Linked DNA regions of Caenorhabditis elegans. The protein of the gene in region 3 purifies or fractionates together with the protein of the main gene of each other region. This does not show direct contact. Each region holds a gene or a part of one and is shown on either strand. Other genes may lie near its edges. The genes, in order: Y106G6H.14, ncs-7 and shl-1.

Evidence for each region.
Region 1: the proteins of shl-1 (region 3) and Y106G6H.14 fractionate together in Caenorhabditis elegans (co-fractionation; one large-scale study listed by BioGRID). This does not show direct contact.
Region 2: the proteins of shl-1 (region 3) and ncs-7 purify together in Caenorhabditis elegans (affinity purification with western blotting, with the first as the bait; one study listed by BioGRID). This does not show direct contact.

What each region holds. Positions count from the first base shown.
Region 1 is NC_003279.8:10,471,087-10,476,228, reverse strand, and holds Y106G6H.14 (Osteoclast-stimulating factor 1), read left to right. Parts: upstream 1-2,839; 5' UTR 2,840-2,840; coding exon 2,841-2,936; intron 2,937-2,983; coding exon 2,984-3,101; intron 3,102-3,372; coding exon 3,373-3,587; intron 3,588-3,641; coding exon 3,642-3,776; intron 3,777-3,824; coding exon 3,825-3,923; 3' UTR 3,924-4,033; downstream 4,034-5,142. Other genes in the region: row-1 (C2H2-type domain-containing protein), read left to right, coding at 181-288, 332-426, 475-556; Y106G6H.16 (Dynein light chain), read right to left, coding at 732-878, 928-1,011, 1,061-1,165, 1,239-1,316; ska-1 (SKA complex subunit 1), read left to right, coding at 1,795-1,879, 1,934-2,406, 2,456-2,629; Y106G6H.13 (Reverse transcriptase domain-containing protein), read right to left, coding at 4,302-4,718.
Region 2 is NC_003284.9:17,614,111-17,621,144, forward strand, and holds ncs-7 (EF-hand domain-containing protein), read left to right. Parts: upstream 1-2,232; 5' UTR 2,233-2,575; coding exon 2,576-2,687; intron 2,688-3,889; coding exon 3,890-4,014; intron 4,015-4,443; coding exon 4,444-4,584; intron 4,585-4,656; coding exon 4,657-4,784; intron 4,785-4,839; coding exon 4,840-4,924; intron 4,925-5,219; coding exon 5,220-5,348; 3' UTR 5,349-5,511; downstream 5,512-7,034.
Region 3 is NC_003282.8:6,377,090-6,386,356, forward strand, and holds shl-1 (BTB domain-containing protein), read right to left. Parts: upstream 6,982-9,267; 5' UTR 6,894-6,981; coding exon 6,792-6,893; intron 6,229-6,791; coding exon 6,001-6,228; intron 5,163-6,000; coding exon 4,714-5,162; intron 4,697-4,713; exon of another isoform or gene 4,676-4,696; intron 4,306-4,675; exon of another isoform or gene 4,285-4,305; intron 4,146-4,284; coding exon 4,037-4,145; intron 3,931-4,036; coding exon 3,715-3,930; intron 3,448-3,714; coding exon 3,271-3,447; intron 3,183-3,270; coding exon 3,080-3,182; intron 2,815-3,079; exon of another isoform or gene 2,794-2,814; intron 2,679-2,793; coding exon 2,486-2,678; intron 1,879-2,485; coding exon 1,797-1,878; intron 1,748-1,796; coding exon 1,670-1,747; 3' UTR 1,196-1,669; downstream 1-1,195. Other genes in the region: bli-6 (Nematode cuticle collagen N-terminal domain-containing protein), read left to right, coding at 18-98, 207-1,019.

The DNA.
Region 1 (5,142 bases), on a different chromosome or scaffold from region 3:
AAGAGTGTGCGAAAAAATCTACAACGTTTTTTTTTCGGCAAAATAATTTAATCATTTTTCTATATTTCTACAGTAGCCTTCGAGTCAAAAGTTACATTAAAATTTCAAAACGGGCCATTTTGTAGATTTTTACACTTCCTTATATATGACTTGTTTCAAAATATAATGTTTTTATTGTAGGATATCGAAAGAAAACGGGAAATTGTCCGGCTGGGAAGTGATCCGAAAGAAGAACTCGAACTTTTCGCTGTATATCCACAACCAACAAACACTGAAGCAGAAACTGAAGTACGTTAAAAACAATCGTGTTAAACTGGAAAGTTTTTTTCAGGAAGCAACACTTCGAAAAATTCATTTGGAGAGAGGAGATCCTTTACCAATTCTTGAAGATATTGTTTACCAGCCAATTGATGATTTACCACTATTGTACGTAATTTCTTCTTCCTAACTCTATATACAATACATTTTTTACAGAAAAATGCTCTCTAAAAACCACGACAAAAGTTTGGAAATTATGGAAAAGTGCACGGCGAGTGCCGTCACTACCGAAGACTGATTCGATCTCGCTTGATCTCCTCATTATGATACTATTATTTGTATCGATTTTTCTCCACGGTTAAAAACTCTACTTCATTATGTTTTCCCATTGAATCACATTTCGATCTTTTCCATGCTTATTTTGAATGAATTACAAATGTCTTGAACAAATTGCTGTACATTTATAAAGCCATTCACCACGTTGGCCGAGGACAACGTGTTGGTAATCGCAAAAAGTAGAAATGATAAGCTATGAGACAAAGAAGGGTAAAAATTATTATTAAAACTGTGCATCGTAGACATGAAGACGAGTTAGGTTGTACTTTTATTGTGTTTATTATCTGAAAAATAATCATTTTATCAGAAAATTGAGATATTTATGACTCCTACTTTTTTATTTTCTGTTGGAGATCGAGTAAAATGGCGCATTCGAATACTTTGAACTGGTGGGGAGCTTGTTTTATTTATATGATACTGAGAATTAAATATATTTTTTATCTCTTTTGAAATAAAAACAACTCACATTTAAGATTTTGCAGATTTTATCTGGCTTTACACATGTGGACGGAACACATTCTGCGTCAACAGAAAGAGCATCTTTGAGCAATTTTTCTGCTTCGTTGCGAACCTGAAAAATTAAAAGATGAGAGAAACTGAATATTTTTCAGTGTTATAACGCGTTATCGCATCAATTAACTCACGTCCTGCCCATTTTCAAAAAGACGAACCACTTCTTCAGCTTTTTCAATAAATAAATCAAATTCGTCTTTTTCTTCCATTTATCTTCATTGGGTTAGGTATAAATATGATGTTATTTTGTAGAAAAACGTTTCTAACAAAGATAAAAATCTAAATTTGAAAATTCGCTTTTATGGTCGTGGCCTAGAAATTCGAACTGTGGCTGCTCTATCGCCCACGGATGTGTACTCCTCTCGAAGTATATCTGAATTAAAACGGCGCGAATATGACTCATCGTTCCTTGCCGTCTTGTCTTTATTTATTTAATTGTTTTATCTTTTTAATTAGCTATAACTTCTTAATTAAATTGGAACAGATTTTTTTCTTGCTCTACTGCATTCTTTATTTCTTAAATCCAGCAGAAACGGCCACTGCTTCCTTTTTCCCTAAAATTAGACTTTATCGAATTTGGCTCTTTTCCGTTGATTCAATTTCAATTGTTGATACATTAAACATATCTCTAATACTACAAAACATAACATATTAAAAATTAAAAATTAAAACATTACCTGTTTCAGAATGGAATCGTTTATTGATCGGATTACCGAAGAGACCGATGAAAATTTCCGCATATGTCGAGAAAATATTCCCAATTTTGAAACAAGTACGTTTACTTTTCTTCACAACTTCTCGCATTCTTCATTATCACTTCTTTCAGCAATCAGCCCTCTCTTGAATACAATGAAGAATATCAAGTTGTTACTAGATGATGCAGCTTTTGATCAACAAAAATTGGAAAACAACTGTGAAGAAACATGTATGAACTGCACCAAAAGTCAATTGAATGATTTTCTCGGAATCAAAGTTGAAGCTTCCACGATTGTCGATGTGAAATCACAATTGGTACCTCAAAGTAAAGAATCATCTGCTCTTGTCGAAACCAATGAACCGAATGAACAAGGATTATCGTCTAAACCGAAAGAAAATGATATCAGAATTGTGCCACAGATAACGGATGAAGAATTCAAAACAATTCCAAAGTATCAACTAGGCCGGTTAACGCTGGAAATGATGAATGAAATAGTGAGCAAAATGGATGATTTCCTGATGAAAAAGAGCAAAATCCTGGGGAAAACTAATAAACAGCTGACAAGGAGCGATAGGGAGGTTTTGGACAATTGGCGAGAACTTGTAAGTTTGTTTTACTTGTTTTATTGAAAATAAATCTATAATTTTTCAGGAAATGAAAGCAAGAAAGAGACTTCCAACAACGTTATTCTTCATAGAAACCGACATTCGACCAATGCTCCAAGACCGTCTTCGTCCATCATTTGCCAAAGCAATTCCGTGCCTTCGTCACATTCGTCGAATTCGAGAAGAACGATGCGGACCGTTGACTTTCTATTATCCATAAATTCCTTACGATATTTGTACATTTTTCAAACTGGTCTCAACGTATTAAATTTCTCTGTCAAATAGCTAATAAACGGATTTCTACTTCAAATGATCAAAAAAATTTATTCTTCAATTTTTACACCTTTGTTTTGGTGAATATATTCTACTTTAAAAATATTATTGTTCTGATTAGAAATATGAATTTTTCAACATTTTTAAAATTTATCAGAATGTCATCAGCTCGACCAATGGCTCCACCACCACCAGCTCCAAAGCCAGGACGAGTGAAAGTTTATCGAGCACTTTATGATTTTCAAGCCAGATCTGTAAGCTTTAATTTGAAAAAAACAACCCAATTATTGAATAAATTCAGGCTCAAGAGCTGACATTCAGTGAAGGAGATCTAATGTACGTCAGCGACGAGCAGCCGAACAAAGATTGGTTCCAAGCAAGCATCGGAGGCAAAAAAGGATTGGTTCCAGCTAATTATGGTGAATACTTACAGCACAATCAGGAATGTTTTGCAAAGCTGCGGCGCGGTTCGATGAGAAGCGTAGATTAATTCACATGGTTTTACAGTTTTTAGTTAAATTACTTGTTTTTGAACTTTTTTCGTCAGTTCATTAGTACAAAATCATTTTTAAATGGCCATGCATCAAACCGCATCTCAATTTTGCAAAACCGTCGTTCCTCCTCTTTTATAATTCGAAACTGCACCGAGTTCATCGAGATTTCTAGAAATTCCAATATTTATTTTTTCAGTGATCAGTGAGAATGTGGAAGAGCTCCCGAATCCCCTACATGAAGCTGCTCGACGTGGAAATATGGATATGCTGGCTGAATGTCTTCGAGAGCGGGTATCCGTCAACTCCCTCGATAAGTCCGGAGCTACACCACTTTACTGGGCTTCACATGGTGGACACGCGCCAGCAGTGGATACGTTGTTGAAGGATCCAAAAGTTGCAGTTTCGGTTCAGGTTTGTTGAAATATTCTTTCACATGTAACGAATCTCTAAAAATTAAATTTTCAGAACAAACTCGGTGATACGCCTCTTCATGCAGCGGCCTACAAAGGCCACGTGGAATGTGTGAGACTTCTTCTCGCTTCGTCAGCCAATCCATTTGTAAGGAATCAAGATCAAAAGCTGCCGAGTGATGTGACAAAAGTAAATATTGTTTTTTATAGAAGTTTTCTATAGAAAAAATAATTCCAGGATGCTGATATCGCTGCTCTTCTAGACAAAGCAATGAAAGAGGATCGTGTGAATGAAGAAGAGTATGCTGAATATTTGTCAGACTCGGATGCTGATTAAGACTATTAAATTTGCAATATTTATTCCTTTTGACATCTTGTAATTATTTCTCAAACACTTGTCGATATTTATTGAAACTTTGCCCAACCTGTGATAAACTTTTTTTTCCCTCTATTCTCCTTTTTCAAATACTCGTTTGAATCGAGGTTTTCTTTACTTTTAATCTTTCTATTTCAGAACTAATGCTATTCAAGTATCGTAGTTTTGCTTTTTAATGTGTGAATAGGGATTGAGAAGTCTTAAATTAAACGATTCTACGACCACCTTGAAATAGATAAGCTGGGTCTCGTCGCGAAAGTCTAGATTTCTCTAATTTTGCGGCTGAATAACGAGTAAATACAGAAACCCAAAATACAAATGTTTACTCATTCCATCAAGTTATATATAGGCATAATCGGATGGTTCACTGGTGTGATAGTCGTTGGTGTAGATGTTTGGGCTCTGAGCAGCATATTGATGATGAGAAGAGACAACATCATTCGTGTTCCATGCATATTGCGACGATTCACTTTTTGGCGGGGCAAAATATTGCTGATTGTCCATAACTGAGCTGTTCATTGTCAGTTGATTCGGGTTCTTCTCGAGCTCCGCGGCCTTCATGGTGCAATAGTCCGACACAACGTGGTTGCGTTGCTCAAAAGCGAGTTGTGAATCAACGATACGAATGATCGCGTCGCCGTCGAGTGGGACATCGGCAATGAATTGTGCCTCAAACATATCACTCTCCGATGCTGGAAGAACGTCGGCGTCGCTCTCCAAACTAGCATCCATGTAGAAGCTCTCGACGTATGCCATCTTGAGTGAGCTGCAAAATACTTATTCATTTTTTTAAATGAATATTAGATAGGAGATTCCGATTATAGTGGAATATCAAGAAGAAATAAATGTTAGAAAATAGCAGTGGCTAGAAGAATCTCCTACCAGCACATCACAAAATTTCAGTCAAAGAGTTTCAGCAGCTCTTTAGGATGTTCTAAAGAAATTCTTCTTGCCACTGATCTCAGCTACCGCTTGCCTTCACAGAATTTCCTGTTAAAGCACTTACTTGATGCGAATCGAAATGTGTTCCTAGGGTTGGACTAAAATCGAAATAATTTGATTTTCGATTTCACTTCACGGGAGGGGAGATTTTTTTTGCCAGATTAGTTTTATTGATAAGCAATTAGAATGTCACGTATGTATAATAATTACTATTTTGCTTTTGTTTCAAATTTCAACG
Region 2 (7,034 bases), on a different chromosome or scaffold from region 3:
ACGACATCTACGGCTATATAAAAGTATGGTGCCCGCCTAAATTTGTTTGCAGCTTGTTGTCAGCTATTCCAACAATTTTTCAAACTTATCACATCCAACTCTTCTCGCATCATTCATCACATTTATGACCAATTCTTGTTCTTCCATTTCCTTTCAACCATTAGCGTTCCGCTTTCATCGAAACAAAACACGATGCTCCTCTGATATGCATGGCTGCAACGTAGTGGGGTCAGTCCCTCAACCATCAAAATATTTGTAGAAAACGAGAGCTTGAGGTGGTCCCGCCGCCGCCCCCGACTATGACATGGGCATCTTTATTACTTTATTGGGGGGGCATAGTCACCTTGAATGGCATTTCTTTGAGTCATTTTTGAAAGCTTCTTGTTGATTTTTTATTTATTCTTTGCACAATGACGTGTATATTGTTGCAGACAATGGTCATAAAAGCACCAGAAGATCCGTTTGAATACTTCAGTTTGGGTGAGTTGTTTTTCCAAAGTTTTCAGAGAACAAGTTAAATAAAAGTTAGACATCACCATGGAAATATGCACGGATAGCAATTTAATTTCTTTTTTGGCTGGGAAAACGAACGAATACTCACTTTTTCCTTAGTATTGGCAGAACTTTTTTCAAGAGAACATTTAATCTTGTTTAAATCCCCTGATTCCGTATATCTATGTGAAATAATTCAAAAAAAAAATTTCTTTGACTTTATTATATTTGAGCTTGAAATCGCGATTTTTATTTGTGCACACACGAGATTTTTCAAATGCGCGCCGAAATAAATTATCCTTGGAGCGCGTTTGCCTCATTTGATTTTCTTCATATATTTTTACTTCTTTCAGTTTGTCAGCTATTTTCATTCATTTTTATGCGAATAAAATGTTCAAATGGCACGAAACAATATATTTTTAAAAAAGTAAATCCGATAATATACGACAAAAATGATTTAAAATAGCTGAAAAACTGCAATACGTAAAAATATATGGAGACAACTAAATGAGGCAAACGCGCTCCAAGGATAATTTATTTCGGCGCGGATTTAAAAAAGCTCATGGGGACGCAAATGAAAATCGCGATTTCAAGCTCAAATATAAAATCAGGGAATTTTTTTGAATTTTTCACATAGATATTCGGAATCAGGGAAAAACTTGGAGTCATTTAAAAATATTTCCCAGATTTCGCTAGTCCGCCTTTAAAGACTACATTAAAAAACAATTTTTTCATTTCTACCTCATCTCAGGAGTTTGTACCTGTGATCAAATATTTCAAAAATTGAGAAATGTACTTCCACCCTATAACTACAAATATGAATGCTGGATCTTGTATTCCTCAAATATATTTTTCAAAATAAAAACCTCCGCCCATTTGTTGGTTCATTTTTTAAAGACTTATTTTTAAATGGAAATGTGAGAAATGTATAAAACTCAAAATTTAAACCGTTTCTTAGCAAATTAGGCTGAAATAGAGAAGTGACCATGCTAAAATTTTTGAAAATCGCCGAATATGCCGGAATTGAATACATTATGCACTCGGCAAATTTTCGGCAACTTTTATTTTTGGCTTATTCCATTTAGTTGAAATCGAAAATGTTTTTTTTACAAAAGTAAGAAGTTTTCTGACGGTCCGAATCACTTTTTTATAGGATATAGTAAATAGAGTAGTACTCTTTGTACACAAATTGAATGTATCAAATTTATTGTATAGAAAGTATTGGTACACAATTAATTACGTCGAACCAAGTATTTCAAAATATTTTTTATTATACGTGAAATGTCCCGTTAATAATTCAGACAAACACGTAGATTTCCGCAAAATACTGATGTGTGATTGATAAGCATGGGCCGACAAGTTCCAGGCTCCGCGTCGTACCACATAAGTTCGACCATGAAGTGGGCGTGGCGCCCGTCCACCTCAAGGCTAAGCATTATAATACGAAACCCAGTTGTTGACGGACAATACTTATTCGCAACACCTTTAATATTGAGATTTCAGGCCACATTTTTACTATTGTCAGTGTATCTCAGTATTTAAGTTTTAACAAAATTTGTTCGAAGACACATTCAATTTTTCCGATTTCAATTTTCTTCTTTTTCCAAAAAAGTCATTTTCCACCACTAGAAAACCACTACGATTCCGTTTCCAACATAATGAAGGGGTGAGAGAGCGAAGCTCTGGAACAATAGTCGGCGACACAATGACATGGTGTAGTGGTGATTCAGTTGAGCAAGGGGGTCCCCCCGCTGCTACGACATCTCATTCAAGTCACTGAGATGAATTTCCAATGTCTATGAAATGTGAAGAGTGACGATGGCGTTTACTCCCTCCCCGACCATCGCCACTAGGCACCAGACTTAGTCTTCTTCTCGTTCGACAGCTTCCTTCCCCTCCATCCCCTTCATTTTTTGTGTTAACTTAGACTCTAGACTCCACTCAACATTTTCGTTTTATTGTTCTTCTCTTCTTCTCTCGAACCAAACCCATAAGCTTTTCAAATTTCGTTAGTCTTACATCTCTACTCTCTACTCCACTTATTCTTCATCCTGTCGTTCATTTATCAAGTAAAGTTTCGATTATGATCGGCACCGCCTCATGTACCAGACCACTGCATCAAGCGTTGATCCCGTTAGCGATCAGTGTTCCACCTGCTGCACTTTTTATAAGCGGGAAGACGGGACGGGCTGAGAGTAAGTTTCGGCCTCTTTAAAAAACATTTTTTTTTGGTAAGCGTAATTAAATAATGCTTGCTAAAATCTTTCCTTGGTTTTTTGTGTTACGGTTGTCTTTGACTTTAGGGTTGTTAACAACAGTTAGTGATGGCGAGAAATCAACCAAAAACGTTACTACTAAAATTTGGCAATCGATCCTTCAACGGCGTTTTTTGGCAGAAAATGACGGGGCTGTGAGCCTTTTTGCTGATTCTTTTTGCATTTAGCATTCGGAATGTTCATCTATGTTTCATTTATAAAGCTTTAAACATTTAAAAGTGGAACAACGTCGTACGCTTGTAAACTCCGCCAGCCTCTGCGGAACAAAAAAGTCCAAGGATCGATTGATAAATTTCGAGAGTATGCTTCATCTTGAGCCGCCATAAGCAAGACTTGAAAAATAAATGCGACCTAGAGTTAGTTCACACTTTTGCCAGTTTTACAAATAAAATGGGTTTACCAGTCCATTATTCTGTTAAGCAATTAATTTATTCATATGTTCATTATGAAGAAAGATATGCGTGATCAAAAGATTTATTGGCTAAATATGGCAAAAACCCTGATTTTCAACCGCTTGTATGTATATACTACAGCGACCGGGAATTGGTTTAAACATAAGAACTTCTTTAATGTTTGTATTCTGGTAGGTTACGTTGTATGTATATTTAAATGCATTGTTGTTTTGTTGGTTACCTACCGACTAAAGATGTACATACAAATATTGAAAAAATAAGCACAAATACAATCGAAACGAGCTGAATGAGTTGTTAAATGAATAAAATTATGTTCCCGCCAATGAACCAATTGGAATCACCATGAAATTTTTATTTTGAAAAATCTAGTTAAGAAATTCTGTCTTTATAAGTATGTATATAAAGACATTACATCTAATCTAAACCTTTAGAATTTGCACATTTGAAGTATGTGAAAAAAATCAGCTTCAATTGACTAAATGTATATATTTACGCACGGTTTCTTTTATAACAAAAAATAATACTTAAACTGACAATGGGTGCATTTTTCACAAATCACATCGGTTAAAAAGTTGTCTAAATTGGAAAGTTTATTGACGAATGGTTTTTAATTCGGCTTTTTTTCAGACAGGAACATAAGAATATAGTCTCACTGTTCCATAATTTACTACTGAATGAAATAAAGAAAACAAAACAAATGTTTTGCAGTGGAAGAAGAATTGGACACACAGCCTGCAATAGAAAGGCAAACACCGCCAAGCATCGATTACTTGATTGAAATCACTAATTTTTCCAAACGGGAGATTCAACAATTGTATAGATCGTTCAAGGAGGTGAGTATGAAAATAGGATCGAATTTGTCAATTTGTATAAAATCAACTATTCACTTCTGATGTAGAGCAAAAAATATTTGTTTTGAGAAAACAGCGTATTGGCCAATTTTAAACATCCGTTTTCAATAGTTTCACTTTCTTTGTATTTTCCCAGTTTTCCATATGCGCACTTTCGATTTCAAAGTTTCATGTCATAATGCTCAAAAATTCATAGCTGTACTAAAAGCTTTTACTGCTCGCGTCACAATGACCATACATTAAAGTTTGATAGTCCTTCGAAGTTTACTTCGAATTGTAGTTTTGGTGTGAATAATATCGGGAAATTTTTTTTTTACTAAATATGGGTTCAAAAAATATTGAATACACCTAGTTTCTGAAACTGATAATTTGAAAAGTTGTGACTGAGATTTTTATTTCCATTTTTTGCAGTTATGGCCAATTGGAACTGTCGACTTAGAGCAATTTCAGTTAATTTATGCGAGTATATTTCCAAATGGAGACTCAAAAGGTTACGCGGAACTTGTCTTCAAAAATATTGATCAAAACCGAGTGGGTACTGTGACTTTTTTGGTATGTTTGTTTCGGAGTCTTATTCACAGTTTTAACAAGTACTTTTAAAAAAAGCGAACATATACTTTAAAGGATTTCATCACAAACTACTCCAAAATTGCAAAAGGGACACTTGACGAACGACTCGACTGGATATTCACTCTCTATGACACCAATCGATGCGGTTTCCTAGCTTACAACGAGATTTTCCATGTTGTGAAGTGGGTTTTTATTTCCTTTCTCTTATTTGTGTGCAAAAGTGCATTGTTTCCTCAGATCGATGTATCAGATGATGGACTCGTCACTGAAGCCAGCTGTTCTTGCGACCATATGTCGGCAACATGTTAAAATTGTGTTCAAGGTAATGTTTATGACGGAACTTGAAATGTTTCTGATCAACATGAATGAGAGAGAAAATGGGATGTTAAGAATTTTTATTATAGATACATTAGGCTTATAGTTACTTCTTGAAAGTTGAAAATTGATATACATTGAAAAAAAACGAAACACTTTGTTGTGTGTACTGGGTTGGGCTTGAAATGGGCAATTCGGAATTCCACGGTGAAAAGGATGTGTTTCTACACTTGCTGTTTTTTCAAAAACTTAGGAACATGCTAAAAAATTGTAATACCTAACAAACTTTTGACTTTTTTTAGAACCTCAACATTGCAAATAACGGAAAAGTTTCCAAAGCCGAATTTCTTCAACGATGCCGTTCCGATTCAGACATTTTAGCATCGATGGAGTTGTTTGGCTCATTCTCAAGCGGATTATTAAATATCTAGCCTTTCCTGATATTTTGTTTGTATTTTTTTGTTATCACCCACGTTTCCTTATTATCTATCAGCAACATTACCAAACCTCTTTCCTTCTCCTTCGTTGTGAATCTCATAATCATTTCTATGAAATTGTGAATATTGCCTATCGAAAAGTAAAAGTTCAAAAGTTAGTGTATGTAGCCGGAAAACATCAAAATTTTAACATCACTGTTATCGAAATTTTTCTACTCCCAAAGTTAAACTTCCCTATTGGAAATGGTGGGCTTATATTTAAAAAAAAACAAATTTCAATTCAATATCTATTTTGGATACTATTATACACGAAAAATGTATTGGAAATAGCTTTTTGGCTACGTTTACAAAAGGATAACTTTTTGTGAAACTGAAAATCATTCTAGTGGGATTTATTTTTAGATTAAGTTAATAAGAAATAGAAGTGGATCTGGAAAATGGCAGGAAATGTTTGTAAGCATAAAATTCTTAACCTTTCAAGCCGGCAACGACCAGATTAATTTTTTGGCAATCATGTATTTTGCAGTGAAAAAAAAACAAGTTTGTGGTTTAGTTGAGAAAAGTGGCGAACTGAAAAAAATATAATTTCTTGTTCCCATTTTTTTGTTTTATTTATTAGACCGTTCAATAAGTTTTGTCGTTTTTTTTTTGTTTTGATTTTTTCTTGGATATTTTTTTGCGGTTGTATAGAAGACTGTTAGTAATGACAAGCCCAACGATATCAGCCATATCGGTCAACTTCCAGGTTATTTAATACTGCGAACTATGACAACGAAAAAAAAAATTTTTTTCGATTTTTTTTATTTCCTCATGAAATCAAAAACTTTGTATGCGTAGATGTATTAGATAGTTAGTTAAATAAAACTGAAAATTTTCAGACTCAGGCATGGCTTATTGGTAGCGCTACATCTGTTGAAAGTGCCTAAAACGCTTGCAAAATTGCCTTTTTAATTTTTGAGCGGTGCTAACTTTAAATCCATAAGAGATATACAAAAGTAATGTATTACAACAATAATGTGCACATTATAAGCTACAATTGGTCAGTTTAGTGCAACGTTGGATCTCCTCACGTTTCTGAATTACAGTCGATAGAAGTGAGCTGGGTCCAATTTGGTAAAAATCTAATTTTTCATGTTATTGCCTGTAACTCCAAAACCAGGTGTCTGATCAAAAATCTTTAAATCAAAAAATAAGTGCTTTTCAATTATTAACAAGTTATTAGTTGACCGTTTTGTTATATCTCATGTGTGCGCAAAGATATGAATCGTAAAACAAAAGTTGCGGAAATTTCGGAAAAATTTCAAAAACATCGAGAAAAAATATTCAAAAATATTTTTTGAAAGATAACTTCTAATGGTTTTTTGATTATAATAGCCTAATTGATAATCAAAATATTACATGTGTTTTTAGACGCCCATGTTGATTTCGAGAAGAATAAAATTGCTTTTGGCAATATTTTTCAAAATTTTCTGATCATGCATTTTTTTGCTCTTTTACTTTTCATATCTTTGTGCACATATGAGATATAACAACGGTCAACTGAATACCTGTAAATAATTAAAAAACACTTATTTTTTAATTTAAAGATTTTTGATCAGACACCTGGTTTTGGAGTTACATGCAAAAACATGAAAAATTAGATTTTTACCAACTTGGACCCAGCTCACTTCTATCGGCTGT
Region 3 (9,267 bases):
ATTTGTCGGCTTCAGAAATGGAGGTGGAGACTCGTGTTAAAGCGTATCGCTTTGTGGCCTATGCTGCTGTTACATTCAGTGTTGTTGCAGTACTTTCGGTGAGTAAAAACGTAGAAACAAGACTAATATTATGATTTCTTTGATAATTTGGAAGTGAATTAAAAATTAAACTGTGTCCAAAAACCCATTTATGAACTTTTTTGTAGGTATGTATCACACTTCCGATGGTCTACAACTACGTCTCGCACGTGAAGAAGGGTATTCATCACGAGATCCGGTACTGTAAGGGTTCTGCTAAAGACATTCTCAACGAGGTCTCCTCGATCCGTTCCAACCGTACCGCCCGTCAAGCTTCTTACGGAGATTCTGGTGCCGCTGGATCTGCTGGGGCCGCTGGAGGATCCTGCTCTGGATGCTGTCTTCCAGGTCCAGCTGGACCCGTCGGTACCCCAGGAAAGCCAGGTCGTCCAGGAAAGCCTGGAGTAGCTGGACTTCCTGGAAATCCAGGACGTCCACCACAAGCTCCATGTGACCCAATTACCCCACCACCATGCAAACCGTGTCCACAAGGACCACCAGGAGTTCAAGGACCACCAGGACCAGCTGGAGATGCTGGACTTGATGGACAGCCAGGAGGTCCAGGACAAGATGGACAACCAGGTCAACCAGGACCAAAGGGACCACCAGGAGTCAATGGACAACCAGGAGCACCAGGGCAAGATGGGAACCCAGGTCAAGATGCTCCATCTGAGCCACTTGTTCCAGGAGAACCAGGTGCACCAGGAGAGGCTGGACCACAAGGACCACCTGGACAACCAGGAACTCCAGGACAAAATGGTCAACCAGGTCAACCAGGACCAAAGGGGCCATCTGGACAACCAGGACAACCAGGATCTGATGGAAATCCAGGACCAGCTGGACAAGCCGGACAAGCAGGAAGTGTTGGAGAGAAGGGAATCTGTCCAAAGTATTGTGCTATCGATGGAGGAATCTTCTTTGAGGACGGAACCCGACGATAAACTGTTGATAATTGCATTATTTTATGTATCTGTTTATAAAGTTTTTTGTAGTTTAAAATGCAATTGGAATGAAGCGGAATGTTGTACAGTTACATTTTTTCAGCAATGAGCTGATACAAATGAACCAGCTCACTAAGTTAAAAAAAAGTAATTCCCTTTGTGGTTTTCTAAAATTAGAAAATAAATAAAACTTTATCGACAGACCTGGAAAATTGAAAAAAAAAAAACTGCACATAAAAAGTTAATTTTACTTCAATTTTATATTTCCATCTGAAAAATCAAAAAAAAAATGAAAGACATCTGCCACCAATGGGCAGATCATCGGAGAGGCTCCTAGTAGCGGGGAAAATTTAGAGAAAAGTCACCTCGAACTGAAAAAGAAAAAGAGCGATATGAAGTTTTTCGGGAAACGGGTTCAATGGAAATATATTTGTTTCTAACTTGAAAAAGTAAAAATTACAGAAAAAAACAAAATTGCATCGTTGATGAGAGATTGGGGAAACCGAATAGTTGGGAGGGATGATTTCAGAAAACTTTTGTAAAAGAACAACTAGCTTCTAGAAAGACGGAACCGGTAGAGCAATGAGAGAAATTTTCTATAGAAAATGATTTTTAGAAATCATTTTAAAAAAATAAAATAAAGAAGTAGATTACAGTTGCGATACGCAAATTTTGTCATTATTTCGATGATTGAGTTCCATTTCATCAGGTTTTGGTAATTCACAAATCTGAAATTAATAATATAATTTTCAACAAATAACTGGTGTTAGTTTATACCTGATCCATATTCTGATTGAATGTTACACGAGTCTCTCGATCCAACTCTTCCATTTCTTCATTTTCTTTTGAAACACAGCATCTAAAAAAAATAAATTTCAGGAGATTTGTTGTTTTAACTCAAAATTGTGATCCAAAAATCAAAAATATCACCAAGGAAAAATGACAAAAATAAGAAGTAAATCCAACATCAAGAATTTAAGGTTTTTCCACTTTTGTCAATTTTGCTATTTGAATTCCCTCTAAAGTTGCACCAACGAGACCATTTCGTGGTACACTCACTTTTCGAATGGGGTTCTAATTTAAAATACTCAAAATATTGCTGACAAAGAAGAAACTCAAAAAAATTCAAGAAATAATTGAAACTACAATTTTTGAAAACATGGTATTTCAACGCTGCCTAATATCCTTGTTCTATGTTTGGTGGGAATTCAAGCAGACATCTTAGCCAGGGTTGCAGAGGCATATTTTTGAATTTTGGATTTTAAAACGCAACAATATTTTCTACAGTTTTCATTTTCATTCATGATTATTTTCCATTTTAAATGCATTAACGAAAAGAAAGCATCAGTGAATTTTTTTGATGATAATTTATTTTATTGATGAATAGTATAAAATTTTTTCTTATTTTTTTACCCTGAAATCCAGAGACTAATAAATCTTCAAAGGATTGAAAATCAAAAACTCACAATCGCCTTTTACGCTTTGTTTTTCCTTTCAATGAAGCTGTTTCACTGGGCGGAGGAGTATTTCTTCCACCTTCAAACATCACTTCTGATTCAACAAATTCACGTTCCGTCGCTTTTTCTAGACACTGAAGAAGATGATGATGTTGGATTTCGAAGATATCTTCGTCTCGGAGAGCATCGAAAGAGAGATGACCTGCAAAAATGCACTTTTTAGAGTTATCTCAATTATAATCTAGAATTTTGTACACATAATTTTTTTTTAATGTTTCACATTGCTAATAAATTAAGTAACCGAAAACCTAAAACATTAAATATAAAAAAACGGAATAAAAAAAAACCACAGAATCTGTTTTTTATACCGGATTCAAAATTTGTGCCCTCTTGAGCAAGCGGAATCACGAACTGTTTTTATTAATTTTTAATTTTAATGTTTTATATTTGCTTTTTTTGAGCCAACAGAAATGCCAAGAGACCGAAAAACAAAATGGAATACTTTTCTATATTTCCAAAGTTAAATATTTTTGTGACAACTCAATAATAACTAACTTAAGCCGGCAATACGAAATGTTCTAATGAAAAAAAAAACCAACTTACCCTGTTCAAATGCTAGCATCCGAGCTTCATGAGCTCTCTTCTTATTGAATAATGCTAGTCCAGACGCGTTTTTAACGATCCGAATTCTAGCAAGACGGGCTTTCTGAAAATTGATTAAATTTAATCCAACAAATTTGCAAAAAAATCACTAAGTGTTTAAAAAGGTTTTACAACTGAACGAAAAACCATACCTTCTGTGCTTTTCTCTTGTCAGCTCTCTGATTTTGATGATAAATTCGAGAGAAATTGCTGACAATAACTGGAACTGGAAGAGCAATAACCAACACTCCAGACAGTGAGCATACTCCTCCAACTATTTTACCCATTATTGTTGATGGAACCATGTCTCCGTATCCAAGAGTTGTTAGCTGAAAGAAAAATTAATTTTTTATTATGAAAAACAATGACTGTGTTGTATGAATAGGTTTCACCTTTAGTCTTCAGTGATTTGTATAATTAAAAAAAAAATATTTTAATTTTTAATTTTTCCAATGCAAATATTAACTTTAAAATTTACATTTTCCTAGTGCATTTGGGATAAGGTATTTGCAAAACGTTGAAGGTTTTATGGAGAGTATTTAACGTAAAAATCAAAATTTCAACCCCGTTTCTTAATTTTACAAAGAAAAACTCACAGTCACAATTGTATACCAGAAAGCTGACGGAATCGAGGTAAATCTCGTCGCGTCGACCTTTTTCTCCGCATAATACATAATAGTGGCAAATATGATAATTGCCATTGCCAGTGAAAATACAAGGAATCCAAGTTCACTTGCACACGATTTAAGAGTGTAACCCAGAATTCGAAGACCTTGGGAATGTCGTGAGAATTTGAATATTCGGAAGACACGCTGTAAATTTTAGAAGGATTTGATCAAAGAATTAATGATTTTTATCAGAATGTTCGAAAAAATATTTGGATATTCAATTTAAGGATTAACAAAAGAAAAAACTTACGAAAACTCTTAAAGTGACAAACAAGCCGGATACATCCTTATTGTCAGTTAGTACCAAACTAACGTAGTAAGGCATTATGGCAATCACATCGATTACACTCATTATTGACCTGAAAAAAGAAAACCATTTAAATGGTTAAAAAAATAAGGACGAATAAATAACATGTTATCCAATTTTGACAAATGTGTCCTTAATTATTTTACAGTTTCATGATTGTTATGAGAAACATCTCTATATTTTTGAACTGATAATTTTGAACAAAACTTTTGAAATCATAAAAATGCATTAAAGACGGGCTAGAGGGTCATACTGAAATGGTTGAATTTTGTAATGAGACTTCTCAAAAAATTTTCCAATTTTTTTTTGGCGGCACAAGATTTTGAAAAGAATTACGATTATTTTAGCTCAAATCTTGAATTTCGCGAACTTTCCCATAGCATTGGGTAATTCGTTTTTATTTGATTATTATTCCTAATTGCGTTTTGCTAATTTATTTTTGTATTAAATAATTGGTTGATTAAATTGTCTCTAAAGCCGATAGGTAATCAAAAAGCGTCAAAATTGGATAATTAGAAAATTCAAAATTTTATTGCTGTTTCAAATGAGTTTGATAAAATCAGTGAATATTTAACTTATTAGTGTGAGAAGTTTACATATTGATATTAAAAGAAACGTACCTCATAAATTTGATTCGGTCCGGCGCAGAAATCAACCGTAAAAAGTACTCAATCGTAAAAATGATAACACACGCTGTATCGATAACAAAGAATTGCTCTTCATAGGCTTCTCCACACGTCACAGACACATTATCCTCATACCCACAAGGTATTGTTTCCACTATATTACACATCACTGATACAGCAATAAAAAATCCAATGACATAATAAAATACAAGTGCTATTGATGTTGTGTGCGGATTCTCGAATGCCGCCCACATTTTCTCTTTAAGAGACAATTTTAATGTTGATATATCCGCATTTTCTACACGTTCTTCTTGTAATCTTTCTTGATTTTCTCGTTTTTTATCTTTATAGTCTTCATAGCAACAATCTGATATCAAATCAGGCATTATTCCAAAGAAACTGAGCTCTTCGTCGTATGCAACAAGACATTCATGACGGGGATACTGAAAATATGGATTTCTGGGAAAAATGGAAAGTGGCGCATTTTAATAGATTTCAACAAGTCACCACATACTCAAACGAAAATCTTAAATTTTTCAAAGATTTTTTTTATTAAAAAATAATATTGAAAATTATAATACAAAATAAAATTTATTTTGAAATTAAAATTTATTTTCGAAAAATATTACTCCGTTTCCTTTGAGAAATATCTAGCAGTCTTACAAGTTCATACTCATACAGTGTTTGAGTAAAACTTATTAACGCATTATTAAAATAAATAAAAAATGAGGAATCGTCACTTTTGAATAAAATTTTAAAAAAAATTGAATTTATAAAGGATTTACTACATTATTAGGCCATTTAAGCACCATTAGGCATAATTAATTTAAAATATTCTCCGGCGATGCTCCAAATTCTCAAAAAGCATTGCTCAAAAGATTTAATATTTTTCTGAATAAAAATTGCATCTATTTTACAATCAATTGAATTCTGTATATTTCCAAAAAAAAATTGCAAAACAAATGCGTAAGTTTGTAGGCAGATATTTTTAATTTTAACGCCTGCCTGCTGCCCGCCTGCGGTTTGTCTGTAGGCTCGAGACAGGTCTATGCTGCTTTGTTGGTAGACGGGGACATTAGCGCCTATGTGAATGGGTTAAAATTTGATTTTTTATAGAAAAAATGTCAAAGCATGATTCTACATTTTAAGAACATTTTCAGCGGAAGTTTAGAAAGTTGAAGAGAGTTTATTTTTAAAAAAACTGTTTCAAAAAACATTAATTTTTAATGCTTGCAATTTTTTGTCTCAAACTGGCTCAAACAACAAAAACAAACAACTCACATGCAATTTTCCCGTTCTATAAAATGTGAGAATGTGTCGGAATATGTCCGGATCCCTATCGAAAAAGTATTCCCCAGTGTCTTCATCATAAAAGAACTCTTTTTCATTTGACCCCAATAGAGTCTCTGGGAACTTTTCCAACGTGTTCTTCCACGTTTCGAACCTTCGTCCTGATATGTTGATTGCTAGTTTTTCGTCAGAGACATGATCAACCGCGAGGTCTTTGGCCTGAAATATCACATTGAGAGCTTGTGAACATATAGAGATCTACAGGCAACACAAAAAATTAGTTCATGAAAAAGAGGAATCTGCCAAATAAATGAAACAGTAAAAATTTTGCATATCCAAAGTTCAAAATGTATATTTAGTTTCCCTCTCACTACGGATCCTGGAACTAAAAAGAGGATCTAATCTCTCATTGCATATGACACTCGTATCAAATTTCCAAATTTTCAAAAGACATCGACCACCTAACACGTGTGTGAACAAGAATTTATGAAAGAATTCCGTATTTTTTGATGTTTGAACCTTTTCCGCGAACAAGAATTCCTAATTGTGAGAACGTGGAAATTTCCACTGTTTTATAGTGTCTATAAATGACCGAATAGAAACACAGAATGCTGCCTAAGTGTCTCTCATTAAAAATGAAGATGTGTGGCGTCACACAAAAATTTTTAGAAATATCACAGTGTAAAAAAACATCGGGAAATAAATATTTGGCGCAATTTTTTCAGATCAAATTTGGACTACTTTATATTTAAATTTAGAAAATTATTCCCACCAAACCTAACCTGTATTGCAACTGGGGCCTGTGGCATGGGCTGTCTCGAAATGGGAACCCATCCGATAGCGGCGGCTCTCGCGAACGGCAGCCACGCCGCCACCGAAGCCATTCTGAAGAAGACAACGACGACGGATTCTGAACACTTTTCCTGATGACGTCGTTTTCAGGAAAATTTTTTCTATTTTGCTGGGTACGCTGTAAAGCAGGAGTTATGAAAATAATTTTGAAAGTTGAAGCGAATTAATGAAAAGAAAAGAAATCATTTATGGGAATTGGAAATATATTGAAGAATTTGAAAGTTTGATTTTTTTGAAAACTTATATTTCAAGTGGTCTACAACAGCAGTTGCTTGAAAATTAAATAATCGAGCTTTCGTTTGAAGTTTGAAATAAATTAATCGAAATAAAAAAGGGTAAGTCTGTATGTGTTTTGGGATAATAACATATCATAAAAATACAGGCGCATAGGTAGGTCGGTCGACGTGAGATATGCGGGTACATTGGAAAACCGGGGTTTCAGAAATGTTACATTCTGGAAAGAAATTGGAGACACAAAGGGCTGATGACTAAGTTTTCGAGTTCAAGATAATTCAGAAATATTTTTAGAAATTACGAATTTTAAAGTATGGAGCCATATGTAGTATATGTTGAAATTTGTAGAATCATTTCAAATGACTGTGAAACGGAAATTTTAGTTTGCTATGCCAAAAAATATATAACTTACGGTTTCACTTAAAAATCACAGGAAAATTTTCAATTTCAAAATCAAGATTTTCAAATCAATAATTTGTTTTAAGCAAACATTTGCAATACATCAACTACGGTAACTCTGACCTAACAACAAAAAAAACTATGTTTTTTTCTCAGAATACATAACCTATATAGCTGAATAGTGGTCTCAAGCCAAAAGTGAAGTCTAGAAGGCTTGCACGTCACAAAAAACTGCAAAAGTGCACTTGTTTCAAAAAAAAACGTTTTTAGAAACAGCAGCCAACTTTAAACTTTTTGTCGTTTTGCAAAAACATAAGGTTCTTTCCCACTCCAATTTTGATGGTTTCCTTGGCGCAGAGCTCCAAACGGGTGACGACGTGTGGGCTCAAATTACCCGTAAACGACGCGAGACGACGTCGAGATCGGTTCGAGAAGCAAGAAGCCGTGGGACAAAAGAAAATGTGAAGGAAAGAAAAGGAGAGAAAAGAACTGGAGGGAAGGAAGAAGTGTTACATTTCCAGTTTCACACTTTTCCTCTTCTTTTTCAATTTTATCCAATTTTGTGTGTAAAGAGCCCTCTTCTCTAAAGGCTCGCGGGCTCCTTGATGCCAGGAAAAGAAAGAGAAAACGATAGACAAAATTGGAAAAGTCGACCTCTTCTGAAGACATCTTCAGACTAGAAAAAAAAGAAAAAGAAAGAGAGAGAGAGAGAAAATGAAACTCGATATTCAATTTTTGCCTGAGAGGAGATGACTTGCTTTCCTCGATTTTTTGTGCTTATTTCGGTTGAATTGGATAAAGAGAGAAGAAAAGAATAAGCAAAATAAGCTGAAAAAAGAAAAGGCACGTTACGGAAAAGTTGAAGAATTGTTTAGAAAAAGTACAAGTTGAAGTTCATCTGAAATCACGTTTTGGAGGGTTTTTAATTGTTTTTGAAAATTTTTGAACTTTTTGAAAAGTTTTTTGAAGGTTGATTATGTGTACTTCAATTAGTCAAATTAAACTTCATGTTAGGAAAGAACACCATTGCCTACCTGCCTAACGCCTAATTTCTACATATTTGGGTGAAGCATGGTGTTTGATAGTCCCGTGGATAATTTTGCGTGCCTAACCCAATTTTTCTTGTTTACTTGATTTGTTGAAATTTTAATTTAGACTTTAAAAATGCTTGCTTTGGCAGTAGTTGACTGGCTCTCCTCATTTTTTTTGTGCTTTTTTCGGTTAAATTGGATTTAAAAAAAGAGGAAAGAATAATCAAGAATGAACTAGTTGATCAAAATAACTATAATACGTACCGATTAAAAAACTATTTTAAAAAACTATTCATAATAGTTGTGAAACGTTAATATTTTGAAAGTGGACTGTCACTTGTGGATACATTGTTTCTAACTGTAGTTCTCACTGTTTTAAACACTAATGCAGTATGTAACGAGTTTTGTAGAATCATTTCAAATGGTTGTGAAACGGTAATCTCTTAAAATACGTTAATAGTGCTATTAACTGTTACGATTTCCACATTTGAAATGCGGAGGCGTACTTTATGTAGTAAAATTTGGGCTAGGCGAGCCTGCCTGCCTATCGCCTAGTCTTCCGAATTTTTAAAATAATTTGTTTTGTGTTTGCGGGGTAGATTTTGCTTGGGCAATTCTCATTTTCCGGAATCAATAAACTCATTGAAAGTTTTCTAGGAACATACACTCAATATGATGAAACTGTGTGGCGTGTTTGCACAGATTTCAAAATTTAGGCCTGAAAAATTAGGGCACCCAGCAG